Canis lupus familiaris: one gene and its partner. The protein of the gene in region 2 purifies or fractionates together with the protein of the main gene of each other region. This does not show direct contact. Links are inferred from orthologs where the notes say so. Each region holds a gene or a part of one and is shown on either strand. Other genes may lie near its edges.

The links.
Region 1: the proteins of OSBPL11 (region 2) and VAPA purify together in Homo sapiens (co-immunoprecipitation; 4 studies listed by BioGRID and IntAct, counting the BioPlex papers as one, with this or other methods). This does not show direct contact. The link is inferred for Canis lupus familiaris from reciprocal best matches to the Homo sapiens genes OSBPL11 and VAPA.

The regions. Positions count from the first base shown.
Region 1 is NC_049228.1:75,928,613-75,945,242, reverse strand, and holds the start of VAPA (vesicle-associated membrane protein-associated protein A), read right to left. Parts: upstream 10,759-16,630; 5' UTR 10,744-10,758; coding exon 10,667-10,743; intron 9,159-10,666; coding exon 9,127-9,158; intron 2,053-9,126; exon of another isoform or gene 1,915-2,052; intron 1-1,914. Other genes in the region: homeobox protein engrailed-2-like, read left to right, coding at 14,414-15,007. UniProt on the Homo sapiens protein: Endoplasmic reticulum (ER)-anchored protein that mediates the formation of contact sites between the ER and endosomes via interaction with FFAT motif-containing proteins such as STARD3 or WDR44.
Region 2 is NC_049254.1:29,233,797-29,250,326, forward strand, and holds part of OSBPL11 (oxysterol-binding protein-related protein 11), read right to left. Parts: intron 11,603-16,530; coding exon 11,427-11,602; intron 10,586-11,426; coding exon 10,506-10,585; intron 8,866-10,505; coding exon 8,689-8,865; intron 5,946-8,688; coding exon 5,744-5,945; intron 1,770-5,743; coding exon 1,624-1,769; intron 1-1,623. UniProt on the Homo sapiens protein: Plays a role in regulating ADIPOQ and FABP4 levels in differentiating adipocytes and is also involved in regulation of adipocyte triglyceride storage. Weakly binds 25-hydroxycholesterol. Interacts with OSBPL9 to function as lipid transfer proteins.

The DNA of each region.
Region 1 (16,630 bases), on a different chromosome or scaffold from region 2:
AATAGACAAGCCTCTGAGATGCAGCTTAAAAATGAACAGGCAATGTACATGAACATCCATCATGAACTCTGTGACATCTATCTAGGCTACCTACTCCAAAGCCTGTTGAGAGAGAATTCTCTACAGGTCTCTAGCATTTGTGCATGTTTTCAAAGTTTTCATCCAGATTATTTTGTCAAGGATTTATTTAAAGAGTGAACAGTCCTGGAAACCAATGCCTCCCTCCTGAGGAGAGAGCCAACTTTTCATTGTCCTGTATAATAAAGATAAGGTCTTCCTCCACGGAAAAAGGTCAGGTAAGTTTCCATGCAGCCCATTAGCGAAGACTCTGATTCTCTACACTCAAAGGCTTCTCAGCCATGATGCAAACACACTATGTGAGTAGCATCTGCCAGAACTGAACCCCTGTGTGTTGCCCCTTGAGGAAGCAAAGGAAACCACAAATATGAAGCTCATATTACATGCATGTCATGAATAATTATAAAGTCCCTTCTCTCTAAATCCAGGAATCTCATATCATCTACCAATATTCATAAAATTGTAGTACATTCAATTTTCAGACCCTTCAGGTTTTTTTTGTTTTGTTTTGTTTTGTTTTTACCCTTCATTTCTTGACAAGATCTTTCTGAGTTCTTGGCTATGGGGAACAGACTCAGAGACCTCTGAATAATTAATACCAGTCAGTGCAATGAACCAAAGCATGAATCCTGGAGAAACATGGCTGACCACACAATTCACAGAGCACATAATCTACACCTCATGGCACTTCTCACTTTATTATTTATGTATAACCCTTACCTCATCCAACTAAACTATAAGCTCCCTAAGAAGCAACAATTTATTTTTTAATGAACTGGAGTAATTAAAACAGACCATAAGTCATAGGAGCTGCTTAATTTGTTGGCTCCTATGCACTGTAAATATGGTTGAAGAGTCCACTTCGATTTTTTTTTTAATCAACATGCAACAAAATAAAAATCAGAAATATGCACGTTTTGTTTCAAATGCTATAACTCTCGGTCTTCATAAGTCATTTATGTCAACCATTACATTTTTACCCCTTCATCCTACTTTATTGAAACACAACAGGTAAAAATCCTAAAGAGGAAAGTTGGATGCTCAGCTCAAATATATAAACAATGCAGCTGTGGCAAAGGAGGTGATGACTACACTTCAGTGTTTCCACAGGTTTTAGCTGATTAAGTTTTCCAGTTGCATAAAGATTACACTGCTGAATACATGCCATGTTAAAATAATCATGCATGTGAAGTACATACTGTATAGTATATACAGAACATTACTAAGAATCTACACAGTTAATAGTAACATGGCAGTAGTAGTAACAGTACAAATACTGCTAACAAGAAAAGTTTTCCTAACAGCTAGCCTTTATTGGGCACTCATCATTCATCAAGAACTGTGCATGAATTATGCACCTCATAACAAGCCTTTGTAGACACTTTATTAACCTCATTTTACAGATGGTAAGTCAACTCGGACTCAGAGAAGTTAAAACACTTGTCCAATGCCATAAACTACAAAGCAGTGGAAGGTGGAAGTCAAACCAGGTGTAACTCCAGAGCCTGAACTTTCATTAATTCTATATGTATTTTATGCAAACTACCTAGCCACAGTTTTTTCCTAATTCAAAAGCATTCCACATAGTTATCTGCAGCAATAAACCATGAAGCTGCAGTCAAATCTGTAATAGACAAAAACGATTTTTAAATGAATATTGTATTTCCCTTGGTCCCATACACAGGTCATCAACTGGGTATTTCCTAAAATAAGTATCATAAACAGTAAGAAAATATCTTATGTCTTACATCCAAGAAAACCCTAAAACATTTTCATTAGAATTTTTTTAAATGAAGTCACCTTAATTTGTGTTCTCTATTTTTTTTTTTCCCCCAGATACACTGAAATCTCAGACTTGAACGTAAGGTCCATGAAGACTGGGTCTCTGTTCTGTACTGTATCCCCAGCAACTATAAAAATCCCCTGGCAAAACAAGTAGTGAATAAATATTATACTGTACAAATAAACAGAGTACTACTTTCTGGAAAATAAAATGAGTCAATTCTATTCAAGGTTTTAAAAATACTAGACAGAGACGCCTGGGTGGCTCAGCGGTTGAGCGTCTGCCTTCAGCTCAGGGCGTGATCCCTGTCCAGGGATCAAGTTCCGCATCGGGTTCCCTGCAAGGAGCCTGTTTCTCCCTCTGCCTATGTCTCTCTGCCTCTGTCTCTCTCATAAATAAATAAAATTTTGAAAAAACAAATAAATAAAAACACTAAACCTATCTTGTTACAATGTTTCACTAACATTAATTATGAAATATGGATTCTGAGATTAATAATGTATCATGAATACATGATCAGACTCTAGACGAAAAATCACCAAAATTTAGATATAGTAGTGTGTAGTCCATTCAAAAAAAAAAATACACACACAAAAAATTTTCCCATTCTAGGGGCTTTAAGTCATAGATAAAAGAAGCTACCAATAGGCAGGAACCATATCTTATTTCTTCTGTACCACTTTCAAATAACGTAGTTGTATTCTGATCAGACAGTTAAATACTCATCCATTACTTTCACATGGAAAAGCACCAAGTCAAGTCAAAACTTCTATTCTCTTCATTCCTTTGGAAGCCTTTTGGAGACAGAGGGTCTAGTTTTTGTTATTGATGGTGTACTTTGACTTTTGTAAAAGCTAGAAGATAGTACGCTGAACTAAAACCAGCTAAGTGAGTGACCTTGAGCAAATCACTTGACTTCTCCAAGACAGTCTAATCGCCTGCATTTTAGCATCAACAGACAGAATGACCTCCAAAGCTCCTCTGGGCTCTAAAACTATGTGACATTATGATCAATTTCACTTCTTCTACTCTATGGTAAGATGGCAGACAATTCAATCCTAAATTTTCACAGCTTTATTAACATTCTGCATAAAGTTATTGTAAACATTTTAGAAGTGATTTTTCAGACCTTTTGATGCACAGACTACTCACTCTGACCTAACCAATCCCAGTAACAGTCTTGAAAACATGAGGGAGAGAACAAATAAATTGTCTTTTCACAGAAACAGAACATTTTGTGACTATCTTCCACTGTGTAACCTTCTAAAAAAAAAAAAAAAAAAAGATGTACACACACCTAAAACACTACATTAAAGAGAACATTTCCACTCGAGGCTAAACATGAAGGATGCCTGCTACTTAACATCTTTATTAACACAGAAGTGGATCGGGATATCCCAGCGGTTTAGTGCCTGCCTTCCGCCCAGTGTGTGATCCTGGAGTTCCGGGATCGAGTCCCACGCACATCAGATTCCCCTGCAAGGAGCCTGCTTCTCCTTCTGCCTATGTCTCTGCCTCTCTCTCTCTCTGTGTGTGTCTCTCATGAATAAATAAAATATTTAAAAATTTTAAAAAGTATAATAGAAGTGGATCCATATTTTAAGAGTTTAGATAACTTTTTAAAATCTAGATAAGTAGGATGGAAGGAAATAAAAGGAAAATTGATAGTTGGGGAAAAACAGAAATAAATGTTTTCAGCACCACTTAAATATCTAAAACTCATTAGCTTAGAATCAAAATATTCATTTTGAATATTCATTTTGTGTCACTATGTCATAACATGAGGAAATGATCACAATAATATTAACAGAAATACAGGATATAAGTGTGTAAAATTATACACACAAAACATAAAAAGAAATACGTCAAGCTTTATTATTTCTAGATGGTAACCTTGAGTAATTTTTGCTTTACACCTCTCCATCCTTTTTTCAATTCTCTATTGAAAATTTTATAATCAAAAAGGACTTTCAAACATGTATGCATATTAGCTTAATTTGTTCATAAAGCTTTTTATTTGGAAAGTGCTGAGGGAAAAACTGAAAATATTAAACACACACACACACACACACATCTTCTGAGGACTTTATTATTGAAGTTTTTGGCAGTGGAAACAGAACTCAGAAAACAAGACTAAGTGATTCATCTCTCCCAATGTTGTAAGAGTAAATTTGGTTTTATAGAGAAAACAACTAAACAGGAAACAAAGATACTCTATACCTTTAAAGGTATGGCAGTCATTCCAAGTCACATCAGATTAAGTACTAAAGCAAATACATATAAATGGATATATATGTGTGGATGGATATATATGGAAGTACAGTTACAAAAGAAAAGTTGTCAAAATGTAGGCCCTAAGAAACATATCAAATTACAAGCTAAGTATATTAAAGTCCTCTCATGTTAACAATTTTTTAATTAACATCTCTATTTTTAAAAATGGGAACTGAATTCTTAAAAGCTAATATACTCAAAAAAAAAAAAAGCTAATATACTCAAACTCATTCATTTAAACCTGAATTTTGAAAATAGTACAAAATGTTCATCATTACTCTAGTTATAGAGAACATTCTAAATGCCAGTGAAAAGCAGCCAAGCAAACTATGGGGATATTAATTAGTCATCAAAAATATCTAAGTGGATGTTTTTTCCATAAAAATTTAAGACACTGATCTACATTACTCTCATAAAAGTGAAATCATAAAGTTGAACATATTTTCACAAATTATGAAGTTCAATCTTGTTTAAGCAACAAATTTATTATGAAGAACAAAATCATACTCAAGAGTTTATTATAAAGAATACAAGGAGTCTCAACGACAGGAAATGAAGTATATAGCTGGCCTTAAAACGAGGCTGCAGCGTGCCTGGGTGGCTCAGCTGAGCATCCAACTCTTGGTTCCAGCTCAGGTCATGATCCCATGGGTCGCTCAAGTCTGCTTGAGATTCTCTCACTCTGCCCCTCCATCCACTCACACACATGCTCTCTTATAAATACATCTTAACAACAACAACATCAACAACAAAAAAGATAAGAGACTGCATTCAAGAGAAACTGATTCCTGGGACCACAAGATCTCTGGTCAGCTTTCTCCCCCTCTTCTCTCTCACCTCATTGCTTCTGCTTACACATGGCACAAATCAGCCGACTTTAAAGATCTAAAGCCAATCCTTTAAAGATCTAAAGCCAATCGTCTATCTAACAATACGTTTAAAGGGCTGGCATCAAAATTCTGGCTGGTCAGCCATCAGTTTATATATTGGCTAGCCTTGGGTTACACTGAACTAACTGACACTGGGAGAAGAGGGACCCTAAAAATGTATCTGCAGGAGCCATTCTCAGAGAAATAAATACCCCCAAACAAATCTACCCCACTTCTCACAAGAGACCATCAACTGATGTCAATAATAAGAGTTCAAAGAAACGACATATTTAATATAGTTACAATTTGTAATTACAGGACAGCTATAAATTACATGGTTTTCTATTTGTCTTTATATAACTTGATTTGTGAACTGTTACCAGAAGGTTGCAAACATTAGACTTGTTTTCTATTTACCTTCCTGTAATACGCATTATTAAAAAAAAAAAAAAAGACCTCAAACTGTAAAAGACTTAATTAGCTAAAAATAAAAAGAGGTAACACAGGAAGAACAAATGAAAACTTTGATCTAATCTTCCAAAGGTATCAAGACTAATAAAGTAATTTTAAGTTTTCCTCTCTCATAAAAAGCAATGCATGTTCACCGTGAAGTCCAGGAAAACACAGAAAAGTAAAAATATAAAAACAAAGAGAGTTGAATCCTAAAGTAGAGCTAATCATTAACATCTTCTTTCCAATTTTTTTCTTGCACATATTACCAGAAATAGGCTCATATTTATGTAATTTTTCAATGGAGAAATAAGGCTGTTCCCATCCATCAGCATCACTAAAACTGGGACTACCAGACACTACCTATACCTGGTGCAACAGAATTCTACCCCCTGAAGGTATTTTTACCAATATAAATATTGAAACCTAAGCCTAATCAAGCCTTCAAATCTAAATTCAAATTTATAGGAAACACATTTCAGACACATCTAGAATATGAGACATTCTACTGAATGACCTGATCTTCTCAACAATAGTATGACCAAAAAAAAAAGGGGGGGGGGGGGAGGCAGTGTTTAAAATTAAGACTTGGATACATGACAACCAAATGGCATGCACAGAAGACTGAACAGCAAAAACAGAATTAGGGAAATTTTATTTTATTTATTTTTTAGGGAAATTTTAATAGATTAGATATTTGATGATATTGAATGGTTATTTTTGGTTTAAGATGACATCACAATTATGTAAAGAAAATGTCCTTTTATTAGAAAAGAAAACTCAAGTTTTAGGTTCAAATGTTTGATATCCAGAATCTATTTTAAAACACCACAGCAAACATACAAAAAATAAACATGATAAAATGCTAATAATCATTAAAGGATATGAAATTATTAAAGTATAAAGTTTCATTACAATGTTTTTATGGATGTTTGAAAGCTTTCATTAAAAGTTTTAATCTTTTGGGCAGCCCGGGTGGCTCACCGGGTTAGCGCCGCCTTCAGCCCAGGGCCTGATCCTGGAGACCCGGAATCGAGTCCCACATCAGGCTCTCTGCATGGAGCCTGCTTTTCCCTCTGCCTGTGTCTCTGCCTCTCTCTCTCTCTGTATGTCTCTCATGATAAATTAAATCTTAAAAAAAGTTTTAAGCTTTTTATCTAGTAATTTGAGTCACATTTCAATTATAATAAACAAGTTTTTGCAAATAATAGCTCCCCTCTTACTTTCAAACTTTCTTTTTTAAGATTTTATTTATTTATTCATGAGAGACAGAGACAGGTAGAGATATAGGCAGAGGGAGAAGCAGGCTCCCTGTGGGGAACCTGATGTGCGGGACTCATCCTGGAACCCTGGGATCACACTCTGAGCTGAACAGACACTCAACCACTGAGCCACCCAGGTGTCCCTAAACTTCTTTTAAAACTTTTCAAGGCTGAAATAAGATCCATCCTATATTAAAATTTATCACCTCCACCCCTGGAAGGCAGCTGAGACTTCACTGTATAATCCCTCTAGGTTAAGATCCAAAAGCCCAAGAAAGGAAGGTCAAGAAGTGCCTCTTAGAAAATAAAAAGGTGTTTGCTAATGACTCTCTTCACAGAACATCTCTGCATGGTGAAAGAATGTCTTATTTAAAGGAAATTAAAGGATAACTAATATGGTAGACCAACAACAAAATTACCAAAACTTAACAATCACAAAATACCAAACTTCAAAAACCAATCAAGTTTTCCCAATTCCTTTACACGTATTTGTCCACTTCATAGAAATATCGTGTTTTCTTCTTTTTCTCAGCTGACAAACATACTCAAAACCTCTGGGCCAGAACAACATCCAGGAAATCACCTAGTCCTGCCTCATAGTTCACAAATGAAAAGGATGAAGCACAAAGATTGAAAAAAAAAAAAAAAAAAAAAATTGGGATCCCTGGGTGGCGCAGCGGTTTGGCGCCTGCCTTTGGCCCAGAGCGCGATCCTGGAAACCCGGGATCGAATCCCACATCGGGCTCCCAGTGCATGGAGCCTGCTTCTCCCTCTGCCTATGTCTCTGCCTTTCTCTCTCTCTCTGTGACTATCATAAATAAAAAATTTAAAAAAAAATTATCTATGGGTTAGTCCTATCCCTTTTAACAAAATGTCCTCTTTTCTGAAACTATAAAATTTTGAAAACACAACTACCTGCAAAGGCAGATGAAAAAGCCTACCGAAAAGAGATCCAAGATGAAAAACATGAAATTACAGGAGTAATCATCAGAGTCCTATTAACGCAATCAATGTTTATTGGACAATCATCCATGCCAGATCTTGTTACCATGGACATAAAAATAAAATAAACAAGTATATCCTCAAGTAGTTAACGCTACAGTTTGGGAGAGAAAAAATATATTAACATAAAACTCTGTAATGTGGTTAAATGCAGATATTACAGATAAGCACAAGCTTCAACACTGGCCTGAAAAAGGAAGGCGGTGACCAACTTGGACGGCAAGAATCAAGGACTTCACAAAAGGAAAGGATTCTTGAACTGGAGACTGCTTGACAGATATGAGGGAGAACAATATTCGGGACAGAGCATGTGCAAAGCCTTGCAACAGCTTGAAGTGTTGGGGAAAATGGTTTCATGTAACCAAAGCTATGTGTAGAAGGGAATGGAGAGGCAGGCATTGGGTTTTGGACTTTTTCATCTACATACTGGGGAAATGTGCCAGCAGGTTCGATAACCCAAGGGAGCAATAGCATTGAAGTTTGCATTTACAAAGGATAGTTCTTAGCAGCAGTGTGGAAGAGAGGCTGAAGAGAGAGGGACACTAGTGAAAAGCAGGCCTGTCTACAGACTTGTAGTAGAAAAAAGGCAAGCGATAATGACCTAAAATAATTACCCAAAGCCCACCCAGATCCCTCCCTAAGTAATACATCCATATAACCAAAATCTACTAGTTACTTTGCATTAATCTCTTTAAAGGACCTAAACACATTTAACACACCAGATGAGACCAGGACCCTCCTCCTATCGCTCTCCCACACGCCCCCAAGTAAAACACACGTGGTCCTCATTCAAATAAATACCAGTGTTTCTTTTTTTAGCACAGCCCAGGACACCATCATTCCTCCAGTTACATACGCCAGAAATCTCAAAGACATCCAACACACCTCTACTCTGCAGGAGCGTTATCCAATATAGACCACCAAGTCTCACTGGCTTGACCCTCTAACTTTTCACCATCTCCAATACCTCAGACCAAGTTGTCACCTCTTGCCTGAACTAAAAAAACTGCCTAATCTCTATCTTCTAATATTACTTCATGTTGTTACCAGAATTATGGAAATTGTTTTAGTACAAATTTGAGTTATCACTACATTCCCCCCACTCTACCATTCCCCCCACTTATAATCCCTGTGAGATAAAAACAAAATTCCTTAGTCAACCTAGAAACCAGCACCACACTCATGAGATTACTTTAACATTAAATGTTTCAGGTTCCCTCCTGCCACAGGATCTTTGTAAATACATGCAGCGCCTACTGCAGTTTTCTTTCCTTTTCACCTAGGAAACTTCTCATTCTTAGAAAATCTTAGTCCAATTGTGTCTTCCCTGAGCAGATCAAAGTCCTCAATTTTATGTTTTCATAGCCCTACACACCTCTTCAGAGCTACAGTTCCTTTTGCTGATTACCTGACTGGTGTCTCTCTCTCCGACTGGGACTGCTGCATGAAAAACAAAGATAGTGTTTTATTCAAAACTGTACTTCTAACACTTACTCAATACTTCTACATTGCAGAAATTCAAATCTTTATTGTATAATTAAATGAATTAAAATGAATAAATTTAAAAGCAGAGTTGTTTTAAAGGAGACAGATTCAAAAATTATCTCTGGGATGTAGAAATACAGATTTTAATTAGCAGATATACAGAGTATTTCTAATATAAATAATCACGATGCCACCAAAAAATTAAAAATATGGAAGACAAGTAAGCTTGGGTTATAAAAAAAAAAAAAATCCATCTGGGATATACCAAGTTTGAAATGTCTGAGTCAAGGGGTGCTTGGGTGGCTCAGTCGGTTTAGTATCTGACTCTTAATTTTGGCTCAGGTCATCATCTCAGGGTTGTGAGACCAAACCTCATGTGGGGTTTCTAGCCTGTTTAAGACTCTCTCTCCCCTTCTGTCCCATACTCCCCCAAAAACTGAGTCAAAATTCAAATCCAGATAGTCAGCAAGCAATTCTAAAACTGACTCTGTAAAGTCTTAATTAAAATACAAATTTGAGTGTGAACCAACAGGTGCAAAGATAGAGCAAGAGAAGGTGAAGCCATCAAAAACCAGGAGACTGAAGAAGCAAAGTTCACAGAGATAAAAAACCAAATCAGAATCTCAGAAATATTAGCAATTAAGAAAAAGCCCATAAATGAGACAATAAAGAGAGCAAAAAAGAAAATTAGAAGACAATTACATAGAAGTCAAAAGAATTGTTTTTAAAAAGAGGAACTGTTAATAATGTAAAGTGCCACAGAGATATGAATTGGAAATGATCAATGCGATCAGCAAGCAATAAGCAGTGAGGACAGAATACTACAGGGGACAAGAGGTGAGAAACTAAACTAAACAGTGCACACGGACAATTTTTCCAATAAGTCTGACTGCAAAAGAAATGAGGGGCAGGGAGGGACATATACCAGAAGGAGTTGGGAGTCAAGTACTTTGTTTATTTGCTTTTACAATGAAAGACTTATGTGTACTTGTATGTTTAAAGGAAGAAGCCGGTGGTTGAAAACATGAGAGGGAAAATATCTGAGGGAACATGGTCTAAGTATGAGTCATGAGGGATTTTACCTTAACCAACAAAAACAGCAGAACAAACAAGCTTGGATAGGAGAAGGGTTTTTCTTTCTTGGGGGCGGGGGGGGGGGGGGAGTGGAGTATAGATGTGTAAAGATGCAACAGGTGTTAAAAGAGAAGACAGCACATCATGGAAGACCGTAAATACCACACTAAAAAAAAAATATATATATATATATATATATATTTATCTATTTTTGATCCAATAGATTTGGATCCAGTGGGCAATCAAGAGCTACTTGAGAGCTTTTAAGGAATGGAGTAATAAGATGTCATCTGTGGCCCAGAGAAGGGGGAAATCACCCTAGGGATCCGATGAAGCCACTGTGAAATAAGAGCTGATCTGAAAGACCTAAAAATATGCCAAATATCTACCAAGAGTAGAAGAACTCTACATCCTCACTTGTACTTCTCAGTATTATGTTGCTATTCAAAGATGTTCTGGCTGACATCACAGGTTTCTTGGTTCCTCAGAGAGCTTAATTTTCTTTATTCGCTTGATTTTGTTATGGGCCACCTTTAACAGAATGGTTCTGGTCTATTTTCCTTTCTCTGATTACTAGGAGGAAGAATACATTCACATTTTATTTTAGCATTTTCTAAATTTCCTTCTTCCAACTTTTCTCCAAAACCACTAGTAGGCAGGAAAAATATAATATAATACAATGGAAAAAAATGCTGTAATAGTAAAACTATAACAGCACAAAGAAACCATCTCTCAGATATAATATCAAATTTCACATCTGAATTCTAGGTCAAATTACTGACAGTGTTTAAACAAAATTTGGTAATACCTACCTCTTTTTCTTTACTAATCCGACAAAAGAGCTACCTTAGAATTCATTACACCATTATAAAAGCACCTTCATAGGTTAACAACTGTATAAAACAAAATTTTTAATAAAATAGAGATATTAGAAAAATGTATTAAACTGGTATATGTTTCTCCATAATTGTGCAAAGTGCTGATAATTCCTATCAAGATGATTGCTATGCATATGACAGAAAAATTCACCACCTATTCTCAAAATGATTAAACGAGTCACTATTGGAGAAACGATCTCCGTCAAGTGTAGAGTTCAAAAGAATTCAAATAAGCCTACAAAAAAGATAAAGAATTTAGCAAACTATCCTTTAACACACTTAACTAAAAACTACAGATGATTTAGGGCAAGTCAGAATGAAATGACTATATATCATCATCAAACTAAGGATAAGGAGACTGTGGATTCTAAATAAGTCTCCTCACTTAGTGTTGAACTGTGCTTTGGAATATGGAGAGGTTTCCATCAAAGCAAATTATTTACCTTTGACTAGAAAAAGAACATTAGGAAGAAGGGAATCAAATGACATCAAAGGTCATCTCTCCTAATTCACCCTACCCCTCCTATTCCCCAATCCTCCCCATTATCCCACCCTGGAACAGAAAAGCACAGTTCAAACCACTAAGTATAAGCCACACATTCTCGGGGATCCTTGGGTGACTCAGTGGTTTAGCACCTGCCTTTGGCCCGGGGCTGATCCTGGAGTCCCAGGATCGGGATCGAGTCCCACATCGGGCTCCTGCATGGAGCCTGCTTTAAGAGAGAAAATAAATAAATAAGCCACACATTCTCTTACATCAGTAGTTGAGTAAACAACCACTCCCTTGCCCATCCCTTTCCCCCCACCCCCCAAATGAAAATAAGCCTCTTCCAAGAAACCTGGGGGTTTCTTCATACCAGTCCTGCCTCTGTTAATAGCACCTATGTGCCTTTGGTCTCCCTCACAAGTCTGAGTTCTTCAAGGACAAAGAAAAAACCTAACACGTTTCACTGTTTTACTGGACGCTTTCTCTATTAAACTACAAACTGTACATCTTTTCCCACCTTGTTTAGTACTGAATCCCCAAATATAATCTGATAACTGTTGAATTACTTAGTTGAATACTCTTAATTAAATATAGGGATGGCACAAAGCTTTCAGTAAGTGTTCACTAAGTGGCCCAACCAAATATGTCTTCATAAACTTTTCAGTGAAATACATTTTTAAAAGTCAATTTTAAAAAGTGGTCACTGATATCCAAACTTTTAAAAATGGTCATTGTGAATTATTTTCATTCATAACACAAGAAAAACTTGTTCCATAATCATGACTAATAACTCTTCAGTAACTAAAATAATGTAATATATGAACGTTATTGTATGGGTTCTGAGTTGTTTCTTTAGCTTGCTTCTCCACTATTATTAGTCTCTTACTATGGCAACATGACAACTTCTCTAGGGAGAAAGCTTCAAATTCTGCGCACATTTTCTGGCCTAAAGCCGGTTGCAAAGGCTTCTAAAGTCCCTAAAGGTAATACACGCATGGACATCCACCAGTAGAGGAAATTTCCTCTGTAAACTCAGCCTGTCAAAAAGTAAAAGCAAAAATTCTTTTAACTTCTCAAAAGCACACACACCATTACAGAGGTTACAATAAATCCCTCCAGTCAAAAATAATCTAAGTAAGGTAATTTTCATGATTCCCCAAAGGTGCTTTTTCCTTTCAGCTAAAGCCATGTGAAACGCCACACACGTCAACTTGTTCCGGTAAGATACACTTAGTGCCCCTCAAATTATTGGAGTTGTCTTAAAACCAAATCCTTACTGAACAAGCAGCTCACATTCCCAATTCAAAGAAATCTGCAAATGTCCTAAAAAGCTTGCAAGATAAAGGACCTATCTACTACTCTCATAAATGCCAGGAAACAATATTTTAAAATCTCTAAAACTATTCAAAGCGTTGTCTATGGAAAGCTTTTGTTTTCCCTTTGGACTCAATCTCGTACAACAATAAAGGATTTAATTTGTTGTAAGCACTGGAATGGCTACACGCCTCGCAAACACCGCTCCCCTCAGAGCCGCTCAAACAAGATCGTGAATCTTCCAAAAGGCGATTCACTTTACGCGTTAAACCAAGACGGGAAGGAATCCGCTTTCCCTGTCGGAACTGCCCAGGCCTCCGGCATTCCTAAAAAGAAACCAGCCTAACTCTCTTCCCTGACGTACCCTGCACTCTGAACACCACCGGGGCCAAGAGCCGCCTCGGATTGCTCGGGGATCACCAAGTCGGACCGCTGGTTCACCACAGCATCGCTGCGAAGTGCACCCAGGGCGCTCCAGAGCCGACGGACACCTGAGCAGCCTCCCCGTAAACCAGAAACCTAAAGGCAGAGCCCCGCACCCTGGAGCTTCCGCAGCACAAGGGCTAAGCTGACAAGCAGAGCGAGAGCGCCCGGCAGGTGGGCCCGCGGGAAGGAGAGCCCAGATGCCGTCCCGGAGAACCAGGAAGGCGTCTACTCTTCACCTACTACTCTCCGCCCGCGGGCTGACGCACAGCTTTCCTGCCCGCACGCGCCTGGGTCTCGGCCAGCACAGCCGGGTCGGTCCTAACTGGAGGACTTCACGGGCTTCTCCGCCTCCCCGCAGCGCCTCGAACCCGACAGCCCCATCCCCTCCCAGCGACACGGTGGGCGGCAGCCCCTGTGCGGGGCGCGGGGTGCGGGGCGCGGGGCGCGGGGCGGCTCCACCCAGCCGCTGCTCCCGGACCCGCGTCCCGGGCCTCCCACCGCCGCTGACAGCCGGCGCCACCCCCGGGGCCCCCGCGCGCCCGCAGCGGACCCAGCGCAGGCTCAAGGGCCACCGCCCACCCGCCCCCTCCCAGACGACGCCCGACGGGCCGCGGGGGCCAAGGACGCAGCCCCGCGAGGCCAGCGGCGCGGGCAGCCCCCGGGAGGCGCCCCCGCGGGACCGCAAGATGGCGGCGGCGGCGGCGGCAGGGCCGGGCCCCTCCGCCTCGCCCCGGCCGGCGCGCGCAGGGAGACGCGAGCGGGCGCGGGCGGGCGCGGGCCGAGCGCGGGCCGGGCGCGGGGCCGGAGGCCGAGGGCCGGGGCGGGCGCCGCCGAGAATGGAGAGTGCGGGGCGTGGGGGAGGGGACGCTCCCTCGCGGCCGGCCGCCGACCTTCCCTCGACCCCCCAGCGGCCCCCAGTCTGGCCGCCCGCCCGCCCGCCCGCCCCACCCGGACAGCTGCCCTCCCCCTGCCTACCTTTGAATTTGAGGTCGGTGGGCGGGTCGAGGACCAGGATCTGCTCGTGCTTCGCCATGGCCCCGGAGGCGGACGCCATCGGAGAGACAGCGCAGAGCGGGGGCGCGCCCGCGGCGGCGGTTTGCTGGCTGGGGGCGGGGGGCGGCGGCGGCGGCGGCGGCGGCGGCGGCTCGGCCGAGCTCTACGATGGGGCCGGCTCACGGCGCCCGAACCCCCGACGCCTGCCGCTCTGTGGCCGGACCCCTGGGCCGCCCGCTGGGTCAGCAGCTCCGGGCCTCACAACTGACTCAACCCCACACCAGCCGCCGCGGCCACGCGCACTGCGATCCTCGGCACCCCACGTGACGGCCTCTGCGTGCTTACGTGCGCGCCCCGGCGGCCGGGGGCCCCTAGCGCCCGTCCCGCCCTCCAGTCCTGCCCTGCGCGGCGCCGGCCACTGCGCCTGCGCGCTCGGGGCCTCGCGGCCGCTCGGAGCTCGAACTGTCAAGGGAACGGGTGTGGATGGAGGGCGGAGCGAAGCCCCGTGGCAGCGACGCGGTGTGCACCGCGGGGCGGGAGGGCGCAATCCTCGCTCACGTTTAGTTCCGACGGCGAAGCTGGAGAACCGGCTGTTAGCAGCGCATTACTGTCTTCCAAGTGGGAACGCTTAAGAGAAGGAGAAAGTAGTCAGGCTCACTCACTACAACTCCCGGCATGCCCGTGGGGCCCGGTCTTTTTGCGGCACTGCGTGATGCTTGCCGGGAGTTGTAGTACTGGCTGTGGGTGGGCGGGAAGGGTGATGAGGTCCGTTGGAGGCGCTTGGGGTGGGCCGGCTGACAGCCGTTTTTGGCTCTCAGCGTCTCGTCTGCGCTGAAAAACAAAAAAATTAAAAAAAAAAAATTTAAAAAAAACTTTTGAAAACTGACCTGAGGTCCCCCGCCTAGAAATATAAAACCAAGATTTCTGAAATTTCTAAGTCCACCCATCCCTCTACATTCTCCGTCGTTTTCCAGCGGAACGTCTGCCGCTTCCTGAATTGCATCCAGCGATGCGGAGCCGACGGAGGAAGCTGCCCCGGGTCAGGAAGCCGCCGCCGTCGGGGAGCCCTGACGAAGCACCCTTACCCAGCTGCAAGTGGGGGTCCCCACCCACCCCGTTGGGTTGCGGGCGCCTGGTCTTCGGTTTTGTCAAGTGACGGGCCCAAGCCACGTTGTCGTGTTGGAAGCGAGTTCGGCGGATGGTCAAACTGAGCGAGGGAGGAAAGCCCCGGGAGCGAAGGTGTGACGGTGGATGTGCCGCGACTGAGCCTGAGGTGCGGCGGCCACCGGAGCCCCCAGGAGGCGCCGCAGAGGAGCGGCGGGGCAGCCGCGTTGGTCCGGAATGAGCGTGGGCACGAGGGCCGCCTCGACCCGCGCGCTCGGTGCAGCCGCGCCCGTGTGGGGTCAGGCCCTGAGGCGGCGCCCGCGGCGGACGCTACCTCCGACGGGCACGCAGCCTAAGCCGTGAGAGCCTCGTTCGAAAGTGCGTTCTAATTTCCCCTTTCCTCGGATTTCTTTTCTTTTTTTTTTTTTTTTTTTTCCCCTTGGATTTATTTTCGTTCACGAAATTTATCTTGAGATTTCAGTCATCGTCCAGGGACAATACCACAACTGGGCGTTTGTCAAGAGAGGCTGACGACCACCGCGTGGGACGGGGTCTCACACGCGATCAGCGTGAGGAGACGGCCCGTCGGCGGCCACAGACGCCGGGTTTCCGTGGGCAGATTCGCCTGGGCTGAACCGGCTGCTCCGCCGCCAGATGGACGTCGTCGCCCCGACCGACCGACCGGAGAGCGTCTGAGGATCCCGGGCCCGCGTGCTGCGGAAGTTCCCGCGCACTCCCCAGGCGCCGGCGGCTCGCGTTCGCCCTGAATTCCATGGGAAGGCTGAAGTGCATATGCTCCAGTTTTCCAGCCTGATGAAGCAGCCCGGGCCTATTTTTAAGCCATGACCTTTGAAATCGACTGTTTTTGTCTCCTCGAGGTGACTTCAGATATCATATAGTCTTAAACCTCTATGAGAATTTAAATATCTGGTCATCTGAGAATACCTGAAACATCTTTGGAATAATTCCTCTGTTCCTGTTTTAGAGCACTGCATTGATAATGATTCAGAGTTCTCCCGAATCATCGTATCCCTCATTGAACAGTTCACTATTGAAGAGGTTTCTGCTTTGGTATTTATTAACGTCTTCTAGCAGTTCAAAGAGCTTTACAGACATCGTCACACCCTTCTCAGAACTACCAAATAACAGCA
Region 2 (16,530 bases):
CACTCTACTGAATACACCTCTCTTTCTTTCTCAGAATGCCCATATCCTAACACCCTAAGCCATAGCAATTAAGATGGAAAGCAAAATGCTGCTTCATGTTTATCCTCTCATTGTTTTGGTCTATATGTTATTGTGACTCCAAGCAGATTATAAGTCTCTTCAGTGAAAGAACTATGTCTTTGATTTTTTACGTCTCCTCTAATACCTAACATTGGACTTGTCTGTCATACACTAAATAGCTTAATAAATACTAGCTACTTGACTAGAAATGAGCTGGTCAAAAAGTTACAGGAGGGAAAAAAAAGCATTTCCTACTGTTTTTTTCTTCTCTCCCATCTACACTGCTGCCATTGCCTGCCTCATTAAACCAAGGTTTTGGCCAATTTTGGAAGTCTCTGTATCGTGCATCGTGTATTTTTTTCTTTTCTTTCTTTTCTTTTCTTTTCTTTCTTTCTTTCTTTTTCTTTCTTTCTTTCTTTTCTTTTCTTTCTCTCTCTCTCTCTCTCTCTTTCTAAGATTTCTTTATTTATATGGGGGGGAGGGGCAGAGGAAGAGAGAGAATCTCAAGCCAACTCCCTGCAGAGCACAGAGCCAGAGCACAGATCCAGGCTTGCTCCCAGGACCCTGAGATCATGACCTGAGATGAAATCAAGAGTTGGGATGTTTAACCGAATAAGCCACCCAGGTGGCCCCATGTACTTCTTTGAAGAAGTAATTTGCAAATATATAAATAATCATAAGCTGTGTGTTATTCTTGACTCAGTAATTCTACTTGGGACTATAACCTCAAGATATAACCCAAATAAAGAGGAAAAAAAAAATAGACAAGATGATACAGTGTTATTTATAATAACAAAAAATAACAAAGAGCCTAGATATTTAATAGCTTATTTCAACCTGTAAAATTTTAATTATATAGGCCAGAAAAAATGCTTATGAGAAGTTTCAAATAAAAAGAGCTTAAAATAAAACTACGTAATTATGATAACCATAAAGATAACACAATAGGCAAAAAACCAATATGATTTTTTTACAGTGGTGGAACTATGACTAGAATAAAAAATGCTTTAGCATCTGAGAAATGTGGAATAAATAATACTTATAAAAACATAAAACCCTGAGACTATGCTATTTTAAGTAGAGTAACTTAAACTGGTTTGGTAAAGTGCTTACAACAAAAAAGACTTAATAGTAAATTTTTAAACTTGCAAATTTAATAGTAAACATCAAATAAGTAATGTTACATTAAGATTTAAGATAAATATATTTCTTATCCTGCAAATAATTACAAATCTTATATTGCAAATCTTATTAGATACGTTATTCTCTAGAAAAATAAAAATATGCAAATTGCAACTTTTCAATACAGTTTTATCAAGCAAAAGTGAGCCCAAACTACAAAAGGCACATAATTTAACCTGAAAAACACAAAACATGCAAGTATTATACAACAGACCTCTTCTAAAGCCACTGCTACTTAAATTAGAAAAACAATATCTAGAGTCTGCAAGAATGTTGCTCTGGTGTTAGAATGACTTGCATGCCCTGACAATGAAAAGAGAACTGAACCTCCTTAGTGATTCCTAATTTTTACATCAAAACTGTATTTTCACATTACCTTACCCTTGCTAATGGTCCAGATTCTTCAACACACTGCTCTTCTGGGACTGCCACTGGTTTACTTTGCTCAGTTGCAAAAGGCTGATCAGCTCCATTTTTATAGTGGTTTGATAAAGGTATCTTTGGTTCTAACCACTCGATTGTCGTTCCTGATGAAGTAAGAGAAAACTTTCGCTGAAACTTGCTCATAATCTGGAAAGTTCAGCAGATGTGGATTTTATTAAACAATTTTGTTTTGAGCCCACAAGACTAAAAGCAATTCAACCTGTTAAGAGACTCTGCAAAACAGCCACTTGTATCTCATTAGCATGAGCATCATGATTGGGTATGTTACAACAGAGCAAATTGCGACTTGAAATCAGATACCTTTTAAAAGAATCAACCCTAAATGGAAATGACCTTCTTCTTGGGAAATCTGTAAATGATAATGTATTCCCACCCTAATAGTTGATTTGCTACCTTTTCTGTAAAAACACGGTCCTTCTTCCTAATGATCAAAAAGTATGCAATTAGGCTTTAGGGAGCCACACAATTACAGGAGGAGCCTGGGATTTTGAAACAGTAAAAATTTCTTCATTTTTGGAATTGAACCTTATTTTCAGTAGCAATTTTCTAACCATTCAAAATAGCCATTTTGGCCTAATATAAGTACTTTACATTAGGAATACATGTCCATTCTTGTTTTTTAATCATGTAAAGAGGTGCAGATACTTTTAAACTGAAAGGCTTTTTTCTACTGAATAAATTATAGGTGACCTAGTGAAAGACAGTGGTCACATTTAGAGACCTGTCATCTTCTCAGTTAATGACTCAAATGTCTCTTATTACCCTCAACTAGTTTAACAAAGTGGATTCTATGCCTAATCAATAATGGAAAATGTTCCATTTGATTTCAGAGGCTGATCTAGGTTTCACAGAAGCCTGGTTATTAGAGTGCTACAATAAGGGATGCTCAGACTACTACAGCAGAAATTACAAAGAGTAGGTCATTCACTCAATCTATAATGAAATGCCAGACTTCAGTATAGTGATAAATTACTAAGTACCCACCAGACTACCAGAGCATCCTGCCTCGCCACTCAGGCCAACTTCTCAGGGAATGCCCTGAGTAAGTTCAAGAGGCCAGTTTCAAAATTCCATAGAAATGAAAACATTTTGTTCCTACCTTAAAATGTTCATTCTTAATATCAAAATCTAGATGTCTTTACTTCTATTTTTTAAAAAGATTTTATTTATTTACTTGAGAGAGGAAGAGAGCAGAGAGAGTAGTTGTGGAGTGGGAGCCGGACTCGGGGCTCCGGGGACCATGGGATCACGTCCTGAGCTGAAGACAGATGCTTAACCAGGTGCCCCCACATCTCTTTATTTCTAAAAGTAAAATACTCTTTATCAAACCAATCATCTGGTCTCATGATCCCTCTAAATCAATGATCCTTTGGATAACATACATTAAGAGAACTCATAGGACTAAAAACTAATTTAAATTTAGATTTCATTTCTTGTGTCACTTCAAAATTTGAGTGAAAGGTAATTCAGTTTCCTTTTCTAGTTATATTTTTATTCTCAAATGACTGAAAAATACATTTCTACAGACCTAATTTGGAAAATGACTATTTATAGTAAGAAATACCAATACTAGCTAATCAATTCCACCAAATACCCATAAATCTATGCCCTAAAACATAGTAATGAGGAAAAACAGCTTTTACTTTAAACACGTCTGTAGTTTATAGTCTGTACCATTTTTTAATTTGAAAAAATACAAATTTATACATGCTTGTATATGCTTCACTAAGCATGCAGCCAATCATTTAAAAATACAATCATTTAAAGATACAACTGTGTATTCTAACTCCACAAATGAAATTTTAAGAATTAGAAGAATTATATATATTTAATTAACCAAGTATTAAGTATGTAGTATTTAACACTGCGCTACTTGATGTGCTTTGTAAAAATTAAGTAGCATTAACTAAAATCAAACTTTCATTTACCTGACAACATTATTATTACAAACACCAGAATTAACCCAAATCTCAAAGTTCAAGGTAACTCATCCAATGTTCAACAGGAGAACAGTCAAGTAAACCAAAGACCTATCCCTTCAACGGAATATAATGTAGCCAATAAAAACTGTGTTTACCAAAAGCATAACAGAAGTTGGAAAATATTCTTGATATTACATGAAAAGTATAAGATAAAAACATATTTTCTAATAATAAATGGGGTTAAAACAAAAACTAGGAAGGAAAGAAAATCTGGTGGGGTATGTACTAATATTAACAGTGGCAGTTTCTGGTTAGTAGGATAATGCATGATTTCTTTTTTTGTTCAACTGTATAATAGGTCCTCAGTTTTTTATAATAGCATATGTTGCTTTATTTTTTTTTTTACGCAGGATTTGAACTCACAACCCTGAGATCAAGACCTGAGCTGAGATCAAGATTTGGATGCTTATCAGACTGAGTCACCCAGGCATCTCAAGTGTGTGCTGCTTTATAATGGGAGAAAATTTATATACTACCTACAATTCCTCCAAGGCCCTGGTCCACGTTCACAACTCACAACTTATGCCAGTCTATCTCTTCCAAGCACACTCTCCTCTCTCTCCACTGGCTTTTGGAGCTTTTCTAGGCCTTTTTCCAGACTTTTTTTGTCAGAAGTATTGGTCCATTCATATATTCTCCCAAAGTATTTTGTTCCCATTGTAAACAGTACTTTCCATATTACAGTTAAGTTTATATGTTCATTCCCAAGTGGACCATGAGTTCCTTACGGGAAACATGCATGGCTTACTAGCCATTAAACATAGTTAGCTTGAAATATTGATTTAGGTAGGCATACATGAGGACAGAAGCCATATTATATCCACATCAAGACTGGACTATGGTAGGGGGTGTGTAGGTGACTCACACTCTTAGTTTCAGCTCAGGTCATGATTTCAGGGTCATGAGATCAAGCCCTATGCTGCGCTCCCCACTCAGCACACACTCTGCTTGGGATTTTTTCCTCATCCTTTTCCCTCCCCTTCTGCTTTTCCTCCAGCTTGCATATACATGTTCTCTCTGTCTCTCTCTCTCTAATAAACAAAATCTTAAAAAAAAAAAAATAGATCGGACTATGGCAAACTTCTTCCTGGGCAGACACTCAGTATCTTTCTAAATTAACTTTCTTCACAAGCGGGGTTAGTTGAGTAAGAGGACAATGAATTGGTATGAACTAGTAAGTTACTACTGTTAAAACAAAGCGATGGGAATGGGAGAATCGAGATGTTAGAGGGTGCAAAGTTACAACTAGAAGATGAATAAATTCTGGGAATCTAATGCACATCATAGTGATTACAGTCAACAATACTGTGTTAAGTACTTCAAAGCTGCTAAAAGACTAGATCCTCAATGTTCTCACCACAAAAAAAGTGATAATTATGTGATCATCATATTGGTGGTAATCATATTGCAACATGTGTATGTATCAAATCAATATGCTATACATCTTAAACTTACAGAGTTGTAGGTCAATTATATCTCAAAATGAAAAATGTGATGAGTTTACTTATCTCATTAAATAGAAAAACTCATTTTTTGTCCTCCCATACAATGGCACTATTTTCCTTGATGGATTAATTTCAACAAGTCAGTGCTCTCAAATACTGTATGTACACCGTATTTTTCAAACTGAAAAGTGACTGATCGACTTTAGTATCTCTAGCTTAAAGTGCATATAGTGAACAGTGGACTAAACCATAAGAACTGGTTCCAATATTTCTACTAAGGTCGACTGGATGAATAACAATGCCACCAATTTTAGCAGAAATGTAGGAGATGTAGGTTTTAAGCTGAGTTTTCAACATGTGAAGTTGAGGTCCCCAAAGGGATATTCAATTATATTAAACATTGGGCCTAAAATCATTTTAGATTCAAAAAAGGACAAAATAAGAGTTTAACATTTATGTAATTAAAAATCAAGAAGCTCACTGGTTTTCTTTTATATTATTATTATTATTATTATTATTATTATTATTATTATTATTATTAAGATTTTTTAGGAGTTAGAATTACAACAGACACAACCTTTCCATGCTTTGGCCCTTAATATTAAGTCCTGCTTTTAATCTGCAACTTACCGGAAGACAATGAGCCCTTCTGATGTGATGCATGCTGCAACTGGAGAATATGAAAGCAGTCGTTTAAGCAGTTCATAGTTGCCATGGAAGTAGCTTTGAGCATTAAGAGATCCTGGTCCAAGGAACTAAGATGGCCAGAAGCAGGAAGGCATTCAATTCGCCTAATTAAGTCTCTCTGTTGTCCTTCAGCATGAGACATCATCTAAGGAAAACAACAGTTCCATGTATCCCACTCATGATTTCTGTGTATCATGCATACATAGTTTTCATTCTCATTACCCTATTAGCTTCTGAACCATTTTTAGGATATATTAGGCTTAGAAATCTATTTTATGTTTGGCTATTCTCAATTAATGAGCACTATTTAGTAGTGCTTATCAATTGTGCAAAAGATGGTGTCTTTGGCAGCTGCACTTTTTCTTTGGAAGCAACAAAGCTCAAAAGCCTTGACAAATCTTTTAACAGTATACATTTGTACAAGTCATTAAAGAACATCCAAGATCATCTTCAACAGCAACATTAAATATTTCATTACAAAGTAAAATTAGTCCCCAGTATGGGCTCTTAACCTCTTTCTTCTCAGCACCTCTGGTCAGGCTCAATTTGAACCTACACTGAGAACATGATGGTTCTCCTGCTTCCTTTTCTCTAATCTAACTTTCTGGTCCCATTAGTCTGATTTTGTAGCAAGTACTGGATATAAGCTTTTCAGGTTAAAAGAGTTTAATACATCCTGCTTTGATCAAGAGTTCTGTTCACTTTTCCTAAGAGAGCCAACAGAATAACAATGCTTGATAAGCAACCCAAAATTTTAAAATGAAACCTGAATTTATTGTGCTTAATTACTTTATTGAATTTATTATGCTTAAATACTCAATTGTGAGCAGAACAGTCTCAGACTGCCTATCTTTTAAGCCACTATTTTAATTCACATAGAAACTATAATGAAGAGACTTTTAGCTTTCCGAGGCACTGTTCCAATTTTTTTTTAATTTTTATTTATTTATGATAGTCACAGAGAGAGAGAGAGAGAGAGAGAGAGAGAGAGAGAGAGAGAGGCAGAGACATAGGCAGAGGGAGAAGCAGGCTCCATGCACTGGGAGCCTGACGTGGGATTTGATCCCGGGTCTCCAGGATCGCGCCATGGGCCAAAGGCAGGCGCTAAACTGCTGCGCCACCCAGGGATCCCCAGGCAATTTTTAATACGATTCATCAAAGGGCTAGTGAAAGAAAGATGCAATTATCCTACCCAACAAATCAAGTGTGTCATACATTAAAGAGCCCCTGAATACAGGTCATAGCAATGGATCGAACATTCACCCTTACCAGAGAAAAGGTTTTTAAATGAAAAGTGTGGATATGAAGATAACTATATGTACATATTTATACATGCATATATATGTGTGCTTTGTGTATATAAAATGTTTTGTATATAAATGTTAGGACTAACTTTCAGTAATCCAAACTTACGAATAGTAAAACCACTCTCGCCAACAGTTAGACAGTATTTAGCAGAGTTAAATATACAGGGTTAAATAATTATAATCTACAATTGAACAATTATACTCTTAGGTATATAACCAACAGATATGTATATATGTGTTTAGCCCCATCTGCCAACCTCTAGGGAGGAGAAAGGGGCTGGAGGATGAATTAATCACCAATAGCTGATGATTCAGTCAATTGTGCCTACCTCATGAAGCCTCCATTAAAAAAAAAAAAAAAAAAAAAAAAAGAGAAAGTTCAGAAGCTTCTGGTTGGTGAACATTTGGAGGTACTGGGAGGGTAGTAGACTAGAAAGCACATGGAAGCTCCATGCCTTTCCCCCTTATCTGGCCCTATGCATCTCCTCTTACATTGGCCTGTTCCTGAGTTAATTTATACCAGGTTGGTCAAAGGCACAGGTGACAACCTGAACTTGCAGCTGGTGTCTAAAAGGGGGGCAGTCTTGTGGGATCCAACACTATTTTATGTAGATAGTGCCAAATTGAATTAAATTGTAGGATGCACAGCTGTTGTCCACAGAGAATTAGAGAATTGCTTTGCGGTGGGAAAACTCCATACATTTGATGACCAGAATAAGAATACAGAAGCGTACAGTGTTATAGCAAAGCAGAGGAGAAACACAGGAGTGTTTTGCATTATAGAATGACTGTTAGAAACTAAAGATATTCAAACTTGGCATTTCCTAAAAATTAAATAAAACAAACCTATCACTTCAAAACAAACAAAAAAAGACAACAGTATTTATTGCCAATTATAAAATCTGAGCTTTATTTTTTTTTATTTTATTTTTATTTATTTATGATAGTCAGAGAGAGAGAGAGAGAGAGAGAGAGAAGCAGAGACATAGGTAGAGGGAGAAGCAGGCTCCATGCACCGGGAGCCCGACGTGGGATTCGATCCCGGGTAACCTGAGCTTTAAAATAAAAAATAAGGGATCCCCGGGTGGCTCAGTGGTTTAGCGCCTGCCTTTGGCCCAGGGCGTGATCCTGGAGTCCCATAGCTGGACAACTTCCCAATACTGAAAGCCTTCTCTAAAGAGATTGGTGAAGACGTTAATGAATGGGAACTTTTGATACAGTATGATAAAACAGATCAATATCTCCAAGACCTGCATAACTCTGTGAAATGATATTTTCCAAATGACTAATGTGTAGAGTCATAAAATGATGCATAGATTAAAGATACTTTCTAATTGTAAGACAAATCAATAGATTTCCATGCAACAGAATATGAAAAGTTCATGAAAAAAAAATTCATGGATTATATATTAGATTCCACACTGCATCTAATTTCTAATTTCAGAAAATGCTACTATTAAGTTTTCATGCAGTTCTCTGAGGGCCCTAGAAGACACAAATAAGATTTCAAATTCTTTTGTGACAGAACCAAGCAAGTTAGACAATTTTGTGCATTTTAATTTGACTTTAATTCATACTCACTTCTCTGACTTCCACAAGATGGTCTGGAGGTAAGTGAGCTCTTTTGTTCACTGATTGTAGTTTGGAATGTCCAACATTAAAAAAAGAAATGGCATTTTGACTTGGTCTCCTCTGGGATATAGGAGAATTACCACTAGATGCAAGTGAGAAGCTTCGTGATTTCAGAGGAGGATTATTCTATTAGACAAAGAAAATAATTTGTTTTCAAAAAATTTAGGCTAAGCCTCACATATTACATATATACTTTAGGTCTACACCATGAACAGTTTTAAAAATTAAATTCACCTCAGAACTGACTACAAGAACATTCCTGAAAAAAATGCTAAAATTTAAAACACTCAAAGTTTAAACATTTGACACATCCAACAGTAAAGTTGTAAATTTATTTAGAAAATTGATTATGGGTTTGTGCTGTTGAGAATATTTTCTCACATTTTACAAATATTAGAATAAGACATTTCTAATTTCAGGTTTTTAAACACCATAATTGAAGCAAAAATATGCAGTATAATACATTTTCTAATGTAACATGCAAGTATCTTTGGAACAACTAGTACCCTTTGATCACTGCCAATGACTACAATCCTGCAGTAGGAGTAAAACTTTTGTTATGAATTTCCTGAAGACTGGGCAGTAGGCCTAAATCACAAACAACTTTTTAAAATTTACTTATGGAGAAAAAAAAAACAGGAAAAAACATCATTTTTTAAAGTCAAGCTATCACAGAGGTATGGAACTCTTGAACTATACCTCTTGGATGGTTTTTAGATATCTCTAACTCAGATTTCAAGTACTCAGACCATCCTTTCCACCTTAAAAAAGAAAAAACATTCCAAAAAAGATATACAAGTGATCAGTAAGCATAGAGAAAGATGTCCAACATTATTAGTCATTAGGGAAATGAAATCAAAACAACAGTGAGATTCCATTTTACATACACAGGATGCCTATTACAGTTAAAAAAAAGTGGCGGGGCAGTAACAAGTACTGGTGAGGATGTGGGAAAACTGAACCCTCATACATTGCAAATAGGAATGTGAAACAGGACAGCTACTCTGGAAGACAGTTTGGTGGCTCCTCAAAAAGTTAAACAGAGAACCACCATATATGGCTCAGTAGTTCCACTCCTAAATACACACCTCAGTGAAATCATGTGTTCACACAAAAACCTAGACATAAATGTTATTCATAATAGCCACAAAATGGAAACAACTCAAATGTCTGACTGATAAATGAATAAACATGTGGTGTATTCATACAATATATTATTTAGCCATAAGAAAGAATAAAATGATCCATGCAATGACATGAATGAACCCTGAAAATACTATGTGTACATAAAAGACTAAAGAACAAGTAAAATTGGACATATAATAAAATTTGCTTCTAACTCTGAAAAACATCATGTGGAGTCTAAGAAGCCAGAAGTAAAACCTCATTTTGTATGATTCTATTTATATAAAAGGCTGAGAGTGGACCAACCCATAGAAATAGAAAATGGATTGGTGTTTGCCAGAGGCTTGGAAATAGTAAGTGACTGCACATAGATACGGGTTTTCTGGAGGGTGATGAAAATGTTCTGGAACTAGACAGTTGCAATGGTTGCACAATCTTGTAAATATATTAAAACGAATGTAAATAAATAAATAAATAAATAAATAAATAAATAAATAAATAAATAAATCGAATGGAACCACACACCTTAATAGGGTAAATTTTATGGTATGTGAATAGTCTTGCAATTTAAAAATATAAAAAGATAATAAGTAGTCTTTCCCTCATTTTTATGCATTAATATCATATAGGAATCCACATACCTTTCCGATAGCTTCAGTGTGATGTTGTGTACATATCTGAAGTCTGCTAACCCAATGTTGTCGCTCTTTAGCATCTGTGGCTGATAAAAAGAACCTAAAAGTTATTCACTTTTATATTTATTTTTGAAATACAATTGTATACAGCATGAAGAACAGATAATTGAAAACCAGAGATTGTTCCTACTCTCCCTAGAGCAAATGTCCCCCCTGGAGGGAGGGAGGGAGGAAAAAGGCCCAAACACCAACTTTGTTAGGTAACACAGTAGCTGGATATGGATGGATATTTCAGAAGGAGGATAAATTATATGCAGCTAGACAGGGATATGAGACTTAACATGTCCTAAGTTTCTCATAAAAATATGTTGTTACTTAAATCATCTTTATTAAGCATTTGATGTGTACTCAATATTTTCAGATCTCTTACAACATGCTCAGTTAGGATTATCATTATACTTTATATGCATTAATTAAATGAAAAACACAAGTTAAATTTACCTGAACAAAAGTTATATTTTAAAAATGAATATGCAGATTTTAATAAATCCCAACGATGTGAATTAGTCACTAGAAACCTCAAAAGAGGGCATGCAAAACAAATCAAGAAAAGAGGTAAAATACAAATCTGTGGCAGACACAAAAAATAAAATTTAAAGCTATGTTCTTAGATTTTTCAGTAATCAGGTTTGTCTACACAAATATTTTGCAGGGGCCAAATGTAAATACACTTGTTTATTGTGCCACTTGAGAAAATTTATTTATTAAAACAGATTTCATAAACTCATAAGCAATTCTACGATTTAGAATCTTACCTACATCATCAATGACAGTATGTTACCAAAACTCAAATGAAAGCAGAAAAGTACATCAACTACTCAAGGGAAGAAGAAAATCACACTATTAATTCTCATATCTTGATCATACCTCTAAGTTTATACTGTTCCCCACTGGCAGCATTTACAGTGAAGGTGTGGGAGTCCTCATCACTAGGTGATATTACAGCTCCTGCAAGCTGCAAAGTACCTCTGGGTTTTTGATTTCTAGATTGTTCATTCACAAAGTACTCCAATAACCCAGCTTCATTGTTTAAAACAAAAAACCTGTAATGATTCAAAAAAGAAAGTCATAATTTTTAAACATTCCCCCTTGTCAAACTAAATTTCAATCATCATCACACTTTGGAGTTTTTGCTACTAAAAAACTGAATTCCAGATGTGCCTGGGTGGCTCAGTTGGTTAAGTGCATGACTCTTGATTTTGGCGCAGGTCATAATCTCAGAGTGGTGAGATCCTCTCTCTTTCCCTTTGCCCCTCCCCTTAAAAAAAAAGAACCAAATAAATAAAATTCAAAAGGCATTCAAGAATTGGAAACACGAAGGCCAAATTTCCTTGCAATAAAGCTTATTGAAAAATTGAACGAATTTAATAATGACATAAAACCTTCAATGAGGCAGGCACTTAATACAGAAGAGGCATACCAGATAATGCAAAAAGGAAACAAAGAGTATCCTTTCAGAGGAAGATTTCTCTCCAGAATTCACTAACAGGAAAGGTAAATTACTCAAACACAAACTGTAGTGAGAATTTTTATTTAAAATTCATTGGAGAGATCCCTGGGTGGCGCAGCTGTTTGGCGCCTGCCTTTGGCCCAGGGCGCAATCCTGGAGACCCAGGATCGAATCCCACATCGGGCTCCCGGTGCATGGAGCCTGCTTCTCCTTCTGCCTGTGTCTCTGCCTCTCTCTCTCTCTCTGATGACTATCATAAATAAATAAAATAAATAAAAATTAAAAAAAATAAAAATAAAATAAAATAAAATAAAATAAAATAAAATAAAATAAAATAATAAAATAAAATAAAATTCATTGGAAACAGGGACACCCGGGTGGCTCAGCGGTTGAGTGTCTGCCTTTGGCCCAGGGCATGATCCTGGAGTCCAGGATCAAGTCCCACATCAGGCTCCCTGCACACAGCCTGCTTCTCCCTCTGCCTGGGTCTCTGCCTCTCTCCCCGTGACTCTCATGAATAAATAAATAAAATCTTAAAAAAAAAATTCACTGGAAACAAATCAAAACATGAGCTCTGAGGAGAACTAGATGCTGGGTTAAGAATCAGTGAAATACACAATGAGAATAATGTCAGGGTAGAAAGATTTTGTGCATGTATCATTAAATAGGTCACAACTAAAGATTACTTTTCCTGTTTAAAAATGTAAAAGCTGCAACTGGAGATGGAGAAACATAAGGAACTTGAAACTAAATGATGAAATACTGATACGCTTTGGAAAAGAATTTGATGTTATGATTTGGTTCCAGATTAACTATTTTATTAAGATTCCAAGTGAAGTAGTTTAATAGTTCTTTTAAAAAACTCTAAAACGTTTAAGTTAAAAAAATTAATGTTTGGGTTAGGAGTAGTTTGGCGTTCTATATATTACTGAGTTCTAGAACACTAGACCATTTGATCCAGTTCACAGTCCTAGAAGATATGGTCTTAAGCAACAGGCAACCATATCCTATCAAACTGGGAGAAAATGAAATCAGCCTTCTCTTCAAGGAAAGAAAAACTGCTAAGAAGCAAGCAAAAGTTGAAAGTGATTGCCTGAGAAGGCAGATGGGAAAGCAAAGAACTATAGTTTTTCTTGTTCATCTTATAGTATGCTTCTGACTTTTAAGATTATGTTCCCATATTTAGATTAAAAAAAAAATCAGCATTTTGGAGAGCTTTTAAACTTCCATTTCATTCATTACTAGAAGAATCATACACTTTTTCACGTGTTTATTGACCATCCATAATTCTATTTAGTGAACAGCTCATCACATTTGGCACATTTTTAATTAATAGGCTTATCTTTATTTCCAAATTATTTGAAGAGATTATTTGAATTAACACAAGATAGTCACCGACATCATCGTCAATTTCTAAAACATAAGCATAAAGCACAAAATACATATATGAATCTGCTATGGTCCAAATGTGTCCCCTGCAAATTCGTATGTTGAAATCCTAACCCCTAAGGGAACAGAGCCTTTGGGAGGTGATCAGGTCATGAGGGCAGAACCCTAAGGAGTGATGTTAGTGCCCTTCTCAGAGAGACCCAAGACCTCTTCCTTGACCCTTGTTCTGCCATGTGAGAATGCAATAAGAAGTCTATGATAGGAAGAGGGCCCTGACCCAACAATGCCAGCCCCATGATCTTAAACTTCCAAGCTCCAGAACTATGAGAAAGGTTTATAAGCCACTTAAGTCTGTAGTATTTTGTTATAGCAGCCCTAAAGGACTAAGAAATGAATCTACTATAAAAAAAATTCATCTAATAAACAGAAAAATAAACAGAAGGGGTGGGTTAGTAAGACAGCTATCTCATCAGTATACTGAAAACCATTGAGTTGTACACTTCAAGTGGGCAAACTGTATGAAATGTGCAGTATATTTCAGTAAAACTGTTAACAAAAAGAACAAACAAAAATAGAAGGAAAGTAAGAAAGAAATCTCTTTCCACTGTTCTAAATTGTAAGTACATTACAAAAAGGCAAAGGAAAATGACTGGTTTCTTCTTGTAAAAGTAATCAAAGAAAATTTAGAGTACAATATGTTTGGAAACCTCAAGTTTGCTGTGAACACATATTTCTTCTTTTTTTTTAATTTGTTTTTTTGGGGGGTTTTTTTGGTTTTTTTTTTGGTGTGTGTGAACACGTTCTTATCCCAAAAGCATTACCATAAATTTACAATAGGAGAGGCATTCACCTAGATATACAGAAAATAACGGCGAGGAGTGACTGGTGAAATCAGAAATAGTAACTGAACAGCATAGTGTTAAGTTGATATCATTAAAAATACTGTATTACATATTTGAAAGTTCCTAAGAGAAATCTTAAAAGTTCTCATAAGAAAAATTTTTTGTAACTATGTATGATGACAGATGCTAAACTTATTGTGGTGACCACTTCACAATATATACAGATACCAAATCTCTTACTCTGTTCCCCTTCTGAGAGTTTCTCGGTATTATTCAGTATTAGATGAATGACAGTTGTTGGGTGTTGGGGGAGAAAGTTAACCTATCTTCCTTTAAGAAAGAGAACAAAATATAGTGCTAAACCCAAAGTGACATAAAAATTTTAAAAATTAATATTCTGGGGGCACCTGGATGAGTGGCTCAGTCAGTTAAGCACTTGGACTCTTGATTTTGGCTTGGGTCATGATTTCGGGGTCGTGAGGTCAAGCCTCATGAAAGGTTCTGCAGGGGTTTTTTTTTGCTGGAGATTCTCTCTCCCTTTGTCCCTCCTCCTGCTCACTCTCTCTTTCTCTAAATTAAATATATAAAATCTTTTTTAAAAGTTGATATTCTGGGGAACGCCTGGGTGGCTTAGCGGTTGAGCACTTGCCTTCAGCTCATGGTGTGACCCTGGGGTTCCAGGATCAAGTCCCACATTGGGCTCCCTGTGAGGAGTCTGCTTCTCTCTCTGCCTATGTTTCTGCCTCTCTCTCTGTCTCTCATGAATAAATAAATAAAATCTTTAAAAAAAATTGATATTCTGTATGTCATCTGAATATATAAGCCTTCAAAAAATTTCAAAAACCTGAAGTGAAAAACAACATGAAAAGACTCCCTTGACTTTACTTCTTTTTTTTTTTTTAAATAAAAGATGGGAACCCTGGAGAACTGCCCTTTTTACTTCAATAGGGATGATTTCCTTCTAAGTTTTCATATCCAGCTTTGACCTGTCAAACAATCTCCAACTTCCTGTATATCACTTTTATTTGGATTACCTGATGTACTTTCAACTAAACACAAACCAAACTGCCTTCTCAGTTAAACGATCACATTTTTATCAATGCTTCACCTATTCTTTTAAATCTTTTTTTAATAAATTATGTCCCATTTTCAAATTGTTTAAGGGAGGAAAGCAAATTCAGCTCCTGTTATTTTGTTGTGGCCAAAAGTAGAAATGTCCAAATGATATGTGAATTAGAAGCAGTATGATGATAATGTAAAAATATAGCCTTTGGAGTCAGAACTGGCTAGATTCAATTTCCAGTATTATTATTTTTTAAGTTTAAAACCAACAGTGAGATACCACTTCGTACCTATTAGGCTATTATTAAAAAACAAAAAACAGAAAATAACAAGAGTTGGTGAGGATATGGAGACGTTAGAACACTTGTATACTGCTGGTAAGAATGCAAAATGATTTAGCTGCTATGGAAAACAGTATGGAAATACCCCCCCAAAATTAAACATAGGATTACCATATGATCCAGTTAATTCCACTTCTGGGTATATACACAGACAGGAAAGTTAAGACTTGAACAAATATTTGTACAGCAGTATTCACAGCATTACTCACAACAGCCAAAAGGTGAAGCAACCCAAGCATCCACTAACAGATGAACAGATAAAGAATATGTGGTACACACATGCAATAGAATATTAAAATCTTAAAAAAAAAGAGTATTATTCACTCTGAACAAGGAAGGAAATTCTGACACATGCTACAACATGGGATGGACCCTGAATATGCTATGCTCAGTGAAATAAGCCAGGCACAAAAGAACAAGTATTGTATGATTTCACTTATATGAGGTACCTAGAGGAGTTAAAGCACAGAGAAAGTAGAATAGTGGTTGCCAAGGGAGAGGAGAAATAGGGAACTATTATTTAATGGACACAATTTCAATTTGAAAAGATGCAAAATGTGCTACAGATAATGCTACAGATAGTGGTGATGATTGCACGTTGAATGCATTTAATGCCACTGAAACAAACACACATATGTGGTTAAAATGAGAAACTTTATTTTGTGTATATTTTACCATTATAAAAAAAAATAAGTTGAATCCCCCTACTTCACAACTACCAATTCTACCCTGACTTTGCTCCTTACTGACTACCTGTGTGACCTTAGACTGTTATTCAAACTCTCCAAAGTCCCAGAGAAGTTTCAGAATCCTGAGTAAAATAGGCACCTAAACACAAGTTTGTTTGCTGCCTCCGAACAACCGTAAAAGCCTAATAACTACAAGTA